Caenorhabditis elegans: one gene and its partner. The protein of the gene in region 1 purifies or fractionates together with the protein of each later gene. This does not show direct contact. Each region holds a gene or a part of one and is shown in the gene's direction. Other genes may lie near its edges.

Region 1 (4,971 bases):
AATACAAAATTATAAATAAACCAAATGAAAATATTTTAATAATATAATACTTCACACCACCAAATTTGGGTGCTGACGTTTTGAACTAGCATGTGTTCTGGAGGTAAAAATTCTGAAAAATATTTGGAAATATTAAGAATATATTCATCTTATCCTTGACAAATTTCAGGTTGACGTTTGCTGTAAACTGTCCGGAATGCCTGATCTCACAATGACCCTTATCAACCCAAGACTTCTAGATGATGTATCCTTCCATCCATGTGTCAGATACAAGCGCTGGGAGGTAAACCGCTCATAACATTTATATCTTAATCACAATTTTTTCAGAACGAGAAGGTTCTTTCATTTGTTCCTCCAGATGGCAACTTTCGTCTGTTGTCCTATCATATTGCTGCACAAAAGTAATGATTTTCATTCTACAGATAAAATTTCTATAACTTAATTAATTTCAGTATGGTTGCCATTCCAATCTACGTTAGACAAGTGATCTCCTTGAAACCAAATGCTGGAAAACTTGACCTCACAGTTGGACCAAAGCTAAGCATGGGTAAAGTGGTGAGTTTTCGAAGATCTAAATCACAATCCCTCTAACAAAAACGATGTTAAGCTGGAAGACGTTGTTCTTGAAATCACAATGCCAAAATGTGTACAAAACTGCAATTTGGTGGCGAGTCACGGAAGAATCGCGTTCGACCCGACGACTAAACTATTGCAATGGACCATTGGAAAAATTGAAGTCGGAAAACCATCAACACTCAAAGGATCAGTTGCTGTGAGCGGAACTACTGTTGCAGAGAATCCACCAATTTCACTGAAATTCAAAATTAACCAGTTGGTTCTGTCCGGATTAAAGGTTAGCTTTATCAGCTTGAAGTGAATACCCCTATACTTGCAAAGTAAAAACATGCAAGTTTATAAAAAAACAAATCAAGTAATCAAATTTTTAATATGACTAGGAAAACTCTTGGTAGTGGTCCTAAAAATCGTCAGATATCAATTTGAATGACCAGGAATTATACGGAAAAATCATCCAGGAAATGTAAATTCTTTTTAAAATTATATTTGTCTATCAGCGCTGTGCGGCTGTTTATCCGACTTTTTGGAGAAGTGAGATAGAATTTTAGTGAGATAAAGTTTTAAAATTTGGAAACTTTCATTCTTGCCCAGTCTCACAAAAAGTATATTAGTAGAATTCAGAAATTGTCTATGTTTTTTAAAAACTTGGGTAGAATAATATGACCGTTCGACCGTTCTCCAAGTGATCAACAATCCTGTACCTTATTGGTTGCGGTGTTACCTAACCGACTTTAAAATTTTTTTCTATACATACATTTTAGTTAAAAAAAAGTCATATTTTCAAAACTATCTTCAAAATAAGCATGCTGAAACGCACAGACATCAATTTGTTTCCAGGTCAATCGTTTGGATATGTACGGCGAAAAGTACAAGCCGTTCAAGGGTGTGAAATATATAACGAAAGCCGGTAAATTCACAATTCGCACTTAGTCTTCCATCAACATTCTCTGTATCTCATCTTGGTCTCAACACTGCTCTTTCAACCAGTTTACTTAATTTATAAAATGGCATTACTCTTCTATTTTAAGGACTTTTTAGTTTATTGATTGTTCTTAAAATAAAATTGTTTTATTGTTTGCAAATCTTATCGATATTTCTATAATTGCACGTTTTTGTTGTTTGGTTTTGAATGCCAGGTTTATTTACTTTTTTTAATTTTTTTTTTTTAATGTTTAAGTCTAAATTGTGCCGTAGCTTTCAGGATAAAACGTATCGGGTATCATAGCAAAGTTAACAAAAAATGATTATTATACTTGCCACGTGGATATTGATATCTGGAGTCAGTGCTCAAGCCACTGGAAAAGAGCTTATCGAAACACTGAAATTCAAGCCAGAATCAATTTCCAAAGCGTCGATTATAAGAGAGCACGAGCAACTCAACGATCAGTTCCACATTCCGGACAACCGAGAAGGGCTCACTCAGCTGGCGTATATTACACCGGTTATTGAAATTTTACATAACAAAATAACTGTATTGTGTTTCAGTGGAACCGGCATGGCTACGAGTTGGCGGAGAAAACAGCTCACAAGCTGACTCACGTCTCTCCGGTTTGGTTTCAAGCCAAGGCATTCAGTGAAAACGGGAAATTGGATGGCTGCAAGATTGAAGGAACACATGAAATTAACCGAGATTGGATTGAAAAGCTCCGTGAAAAAAACGAAAACATCGCGATTGTGCCTCGAATTCTGTTTGATGGTTGGAGTGCTCAGGAGATGAAGAACTTGTTGATGGATGCAAAAGTTGCAAGACATTGTTTCGAGGATATCGCCAATTTTTACAGCGTTAGTTCCATTTGAAATAAAGAATTACCGTATATTCTCTATTAGTGCGGCATGCCGCACTAATTTCCGAGCCTTCCACGACTTGCGCACTATTAGAGACTGCCGGACTACTGGAGACTGCCGTACTAATTTTCGATAACTAATTTTCACTTTGAGGTTACTACTTTCGAGAGTAGTAACCTCAAAATTCCCTCATAAAAGCTCATATTTTATGTGAAAAGTAATGAAAATTGTGTATTTTGCCACCAAAGACTCTGAAATGCAATGTTTACGTGAAAATTTATGAGAAATTATTGAAGAATGAACAAGGATACCATTGTAGAATCCGAATATTTGAGGTGGCTTTCGCAACCAAAAAGAAGGGGTGCCGCACTATTAGAGACTGCCGGACTACTGGAGACTGCCGCACTAATTTTCGAAAGGGCAGTAGAGATGCCGCACTAATAGAGAATATACGGTAAATGATTGTCTGTCATTCAAGCTGAAGGGTCTGTAGCTGAAGCTTCCACTGGGCTAATGTTAAGCCTCGCTTGAAACTTGGACTGCGGCCGGTAATCCAGTCGTGGATTGCTCCACTTCTCAGTTATGGACAAGTGGACCCATCGGGATAAAGGGCTTGAACTTGACTCAACGACATAAAAATACCGTCTAGACTATCCCCGTCAGAAACACAAACATAAAAATCACCATCATTTTTCCAGAGAAACCAGTTTGAAGGCGCTGTCGTGGAGCTCTACATGCAAGCATTGATCTCTGTGCAGTCTCTAGAAGTAAAGGAGTTTATCATCGAAAGTATACAAGACTTGTCGAGGCAAATGAAAAAGTTGCATATGCAAGTGATTCTAACAGTTCCTGCGCCCCTGGAATGGAATAAGTAGAAATATTGGTGATAAGAAACTTGGGAAAAATTAACATATTTTCAGCCAACCCAACAATCTCGTGACTCCGGATGACTTTAAGAAGATCACAGCTGTTTCCGATTTTGTTCAGGTAAGTGGGAGGAATTTAAGTTGTGTAGTTGAAAACAACACTGTAAGAAACTTCTGTGAGATTGTCAATTTTTCAGATAATGACCTACGATTACCGGGGAAACAAACCAGCTGGTGTGGCTCCATACGACTGGGTTAGTTTTCAAAAATTTTATTCACTAAAATCCAATTTCTTGGGGTTCTTTAAGAATTCAGCAAGATTCCAGCAAACTTTTGAAAAAAACTAAGAGAGAAACACATTAGTTTCCGTGGAATTCTAAAAAAAATTATCTCATTTCAGTTTGAGAGCTGTATCTTCTACTTGGGAGGTGGCCACAAAACACTGGCGGGACTCAATTTCTACGGCTATGAGTTCTCCAAAGGCAATGTGGAAGCAATCACTGCGGATAGGTGAGAATTAAGAAAGAAAAAAGAGTTGTGCGAAAATGGAAAGTCTTATTATACTGTTGAGCTACATAGAAAAGAAAATAGAACAATGTGGAAGAGATTTGCAAGTTTAACAATTGTTCACTGGGAATTGGGATGGCAAACCGGACGTTCTTTTTTTTTAGTTCAATTTTCTAACTTTTTTTTTCACGTTCCAAATCTTCCAGATTCTGAACAAGGCCACCTTTGTAAAGTTATTGTAAAAATTGTGGAATCCGGAAAATATTTAAAAAAAAACAACTGTAATACAGAAACTGGATTGTCCAAAATTCGGTAAAGCCAAACGTTTGACATAAAATATTGCCAAAGTTCTTAAATCATTTCTTAATTTTATATATTGACAAATCAATAGTTAATTAAATTACGACAAATTAATTATCTTTCAGATACTTGACACTATTGAAATCTGAAAAATCCAAGTTGGAGTTTGACGAAAAGTCAATGGAGCACAGAGTAAAGACCTCTAATTCCATCGCCTATTTCCCATCACTCACCTCGCTGGAACTTCGCATCAATATGGCTCACCGCTACGATGTCGGAATTGCCATTTGGGATTATGGACAGGGACTCGACTATTTCACTAATTTATTGATTTAATGTTTCAACTTTTCACATTTTTCAGCCTATTTCATTTGAACATTTTAATCTATGGAATTTGATATGTAAATAAGAAGACAAATATTATACTAAAGATTCTTTCATTTTGACGAAAAAAGGGGACATAACGCTTGATGATAGTGTTTGCAATTTTGATATAAGAAAACATATTGAAATGCGTCAAGAGGAGAGACCCTCATACAATGAAAGAGCATGCACAATTGAGGGGTCAGCTTTGGCTCCTTCTTTGAATTCTTCCAATGTCAGTTGAGCATCGTTATTCTGGAAAAATTTGGAAATTATTTAATGCTCTAAAAATTTTGAAAGTGGAATTTAGTCGATACCACAAATTTGTTACTAAAATCACCAAACAACATTGTAAGATTTAAAAAAAATGGAAAAAAAACTCAGTTTTTAGTTTCAAAATTTTAAACATTTTTAGTTGCGTTTTAACTGTATAAATTTGTACATTGTAAACGTTAAACTGTGCAGAAAGTCTTGAAATGTTTAAATAATAATTTTCAAAATATCTGGCAGCTTAATACTTTGCTTAAAATGATAAAATCTCAAAAAAACAATTTGAAGTGTTTTGTTACGATGT
Region 2 (3,803 bases), on another chromosome or scaffold:
AGACGTGTCGATAGGTGAAAATGGTGGGAAAATTCGAAATTTTCGCTATAAAATATACTTTAATACAACATTTTTCTCAGATTTTCAGCTGTTTTTCGAATTTTCACATAACTCCTCCGGAAGTGGTGGGAAAATTTGAAATTCCTACGGAAAATTTGCAATTTTCGCTTCAAAATTTGATTTTAAACTTGAAAAATCTATATTTTCTGATTTTCACACCATTTTCCACCAATCCACACACCCTAAACCATCTCCAAACTTCATATGAAATAGTAAAACGATACGGTCACTTCGTAAAATAATATAACAAATGAGAAGAACAAGTTAGACGAAACGAAAAAAACCCCCAAAAAAACATTAAAATTAAAAATATTGGAAAAAAATGCTTAATAAAATATTAAAAATATATATGAATACTTGTTTTTGTGTGTTTTTTGTTGCAATGTCGGAGCAAAATTTAATAGAAATGGGAGAAGATTTGGAATCTGAAAATCGCGGCGAGTTTCAAATAATAAAGAGATCACACGAGTTCGCCAGATTTTTTAGATTTTTGATCTAAGAAATTGGGATAATTTCTGTTTTTGGTAAGATTTCGTTTTCAGATTTTTCAAAATTCGATTTCCCGGATTTTACCCGCAAAAATTGTTTAGTTTTTCAATTTTTTCAAACTTTCTGGTATTTTCTCGTAAAAAAAGCCTGGATAACCATGAGAAATTTCGCTGAAATTCGAAAATTTACCTAAAAATCGCAATGTTTGCGGAAAAATGTCTGAATTATTCGGTGAAGCGGGAATTCAAAAATAATTACAACTTTGGCTATGGTTTTGGGAAAATTAAAAAATTTAGGAAAAAAATTTGTTTTTTTAGTATTCGGAATACCGTAATCACTTTTGCTAACATTTATTGATAATTTCTTATCATTTGCGGTTTATTTTCTGAATCATCATCATCACGTCATGCAAAATTACCTATCACTTGGAAAAACTGTAAATTTTTAAAAAATTAGGGGGTTTTCAACTTCAAAAATGTATTATCTAGACGCTTCTTTATGAAACATGCACCTTTAAATTCTGATACGGTAGTTAGTCAAGGTTTTCCTAGTTTATTATTACTCAGGTACTAAATTTCGCGACTTTTTGGTCTCGAAACGTTAACGACAAATGTTTGTTTAATGGGAAAAAAACGTTGTGCGCCTTTAAATAGTACTGTAGTTTACAAATTAGATTGCTGACGAATTTCCAAATGTTTTTTTTGTAAAACTATGAAAAAACGATTTTAAACACGTGAAATTGAGAACTACAGTACTCTTTAAAGGCGCACACCTTTTCGCAGTAAACTGTCGTGTCGAGACCAGTGACCTCCCCCCCGTTACCGTATCCTTATCTTAAAGGCGCATACCCCTCTCCTTGTTTTTTTTTGTTCTCATCGTATTTTTTTGACGCGTACGAGCTCGTTGCCAGTCAAAAACTAAATAATTTTTTTGAAATTTCAGAGAAACAACTGGCAAGGAACCCCCTACGCGACTGCAACGACACACCAACGGATAAAAATTATTAATTTCCCCCACTTTTTATTTTACTCAAAAATTATACAAATTCTCACCCAAATTTTTTTCCAAAAACTCACTAAATTTCAATTTTTCACCGTTGAATGCCTTCAAAAATCCATAATATATCGATTTTTTAGCTTTTCTACTGTAAAAACTTTCATGAAACTTATTTAACGAATTTAAATAATTATATTTCTCACAAAATAAACAATTATTTTTCTCAAATTACATATTCATCGAACACACATCTCATATAGGGCCTCCACTCAAATTTCAGGCAATTTCCCTCGAAAATTCGCGAATATTTTAGCCAATTAGGGGGTATAAAAGCGTGTGTGCTCCGCGGGAGCCAACAATAATTCTATCGCCTCCAAAAATGCCGATTTCCGAGCTCGAAAAGGTGAGCTAATTTTCAATTTCAGTCTGGTCAGCAAGTTCGCTTCAATGAGACGCTCATTCCAATGTGAAAACGCGCTCCACGGCAAATTTAAAACGCTCCGCCTTCGAACCATGGGTCTCGTTAGGTATTTGGCGGTAAAATCGTGAATTTGAACTTTTTTTCCGTAGTCACGGATTTCTGGCTTCCCTAGGGAGGGAATTCCCTCGTAAATTGAAATGGAAGATTTTAGGCCGAACTAGGCCATTTTGCCTCGGCCATATCTGGGGTAGATTTACGGCGCGTTGCGTGTCGCGTCGCGGCTCGGTTTTAGTTGTAAAAATAAATGTATTTGTCCGTGTTGAGTACACGACACTTTTCCACGCGTTGACGATTGTCAATGGAGCGCGAAAAATGCATTGAGGAAGCCCAGAACACTGATTTTGTTAAATCCAGAAAAATGAAATCGACGTGAAAACGCGCTCGGCGGCTAATTTGAAACGCTCCGCCCCCGAATTATGGGTCTTGTTTAGGTATGGCGTCCAAATTTGGCGGTAAAATCGTAAATTCAAACATTTTTCCTATATATTCCGTAGTTTTTGAGAACGCTGCAAAATTCTCGAAAACGTTCGAAATTTTTCACCAAATACCTATTACGGGACCATGAGATCATGAGAATGCCTACTTCTCTGGCGGCAAATATCTCGTAGCGAAGGGACCTGCGTCTCTCTTCGCCATATGCTCTCTCGCTGCCGCGGCCTGCCAATATTTTCGCGCCAGTAATAGGCATTCTCATGATCTCATGGTCCCGTAATAACGAGACCCATGATTCGCGGCCGTTTACGCCCCATAATAGTAAAAGATGCAAGCGCGCTCCACCGAATTTTTCGAGGATTCAATAATAACAATCAAATTCCCAATTCCCTCAGAAATGGACCGGGCTAACTTTTGAAATTGCCGCCGAGGAGATGCGTCGGCTCAAGTCCGAGCCAACCGATCGAGAGCGGCTGAAACTCTACGCATTGTACAAACAGGCTCTCCATGGGGACATTCCAAATGAGGATGTGTATCGTAAGGGTCTCGAATGGAAAATAATCCAAAATCTAACATTCTATATTTTTCAGCAGTTCCCGCCGGTGACGAGGTCGGCAGGAAAAAATATGCCGCCTGGAAATCGCAGAAAGGCGCGAATTCGGAGAAATGCCGCGCGGACTACGTGGCAATCGCCGAGGAAATGATCAAAAAATACGGGCGGAACATTGTCCGTTGCAAGTGGAACAGTGAAGTTTGGTCTGTGGATTATTGATTGATTTTGAGTATTTTTTTGTTTTTGAATAAAAATTCAAATCTCTTCATATTTGTTCTTGGCGTTCTGGGTCGGTGGGTATCGTGGCGAGACACCGATAGAGAGAGTGAGATAGACTAGAGAGAGAGATAGAGAAATGGGGAATGTTTGGGGGGAAACGGTAGAGATCACAAAATAACTTTTTACAATCATTATCAAAATAAATATGGCTCAGATTGGCCGGGGGGTGGGACACAAAAATACAAAATATGGACATTTTTTTGGTGGTGTGGGGGGAAAATTATGATATGACATGAAAATTTGGAGGGGATTTTTTGTTCTTGTTGTAAGAGATTTTGGACTGGGACAATTTGTGAGAATTTGGCAGATTTTTAGGTAGGTAGGTAGGGGGTGGACGGAGGAATCCAGATTATCTCGAATAATGATCTTCGTGAGCATCGTCGTCTTCACCGCCCATCGATGATTCCTCTTGGATCATTGTCATTTTCCCGAAAATCTTCTCGTACCACGGCTGTTCTTGGACTGGAGATGATGTGCTGGTGGTCGTGGTGGAAGGGATTTGATGAGCTGGCA

What was found.
Region 2: the proteins of chil-10 (region 1) and acbp-6 fractionate together in Caenorhabditis elegans (co-fractionation; one large-scale study listed by BioGRID). This does not show direct contact.

Annotation. Positions count from the first base shown.
Region 1 is NC_003284.9:956,111-961,081, forward strand, and holds chil-10 (GH18 domain-containing protein), read left to right. Parts: upstream 1-1,770; 5' UTR 1,771-1,816; coding exon 1,817-2,017; intron 2,018-2,061; coding exon 2,062-2,358; intron 2,359-3,059; coding exon 3,060-3,232; intron 3,233-3,281; coding exon 3,282-3,348; intron 3,349-3,424; coding exon 3,425-3,481; intron 3,482-3,627; coding exon 3,628-3,737; intron 3,738-4,159; coding exon 4,160-4,370; 3' UTR 4,371-4,458; downstream 4,459-4,971. Other genes in the region: apm-3 (MHD domain-containing protein), read left to right, coding at 170-283, 328-401, 453-555, 608-853, 1,414-1,506; ncs-1 (Neuronal calcium sensor 1), read right to left, coding at 4,551-4,652.
Region 2 is NC_003280.10:11,971,788-11,975,590, reverse strand, and holds acbp-6 (ACB domain-containing protein), read left to right. Parts: upstream 1-1,858; 5' UTR 1,859-1,924; coding exon 1,925-1,948; intron 1,949-2,853; coding exon 2,854-2,995; intron 2,996-3,048; coding exon 3,049-3,230; 3' UTR 3,231-3,278; downstream 3,279-3,803. Other genes in the region: mex-1 (C3H1-type domain-containing protein), read right to left, coding at 3,640-3,803.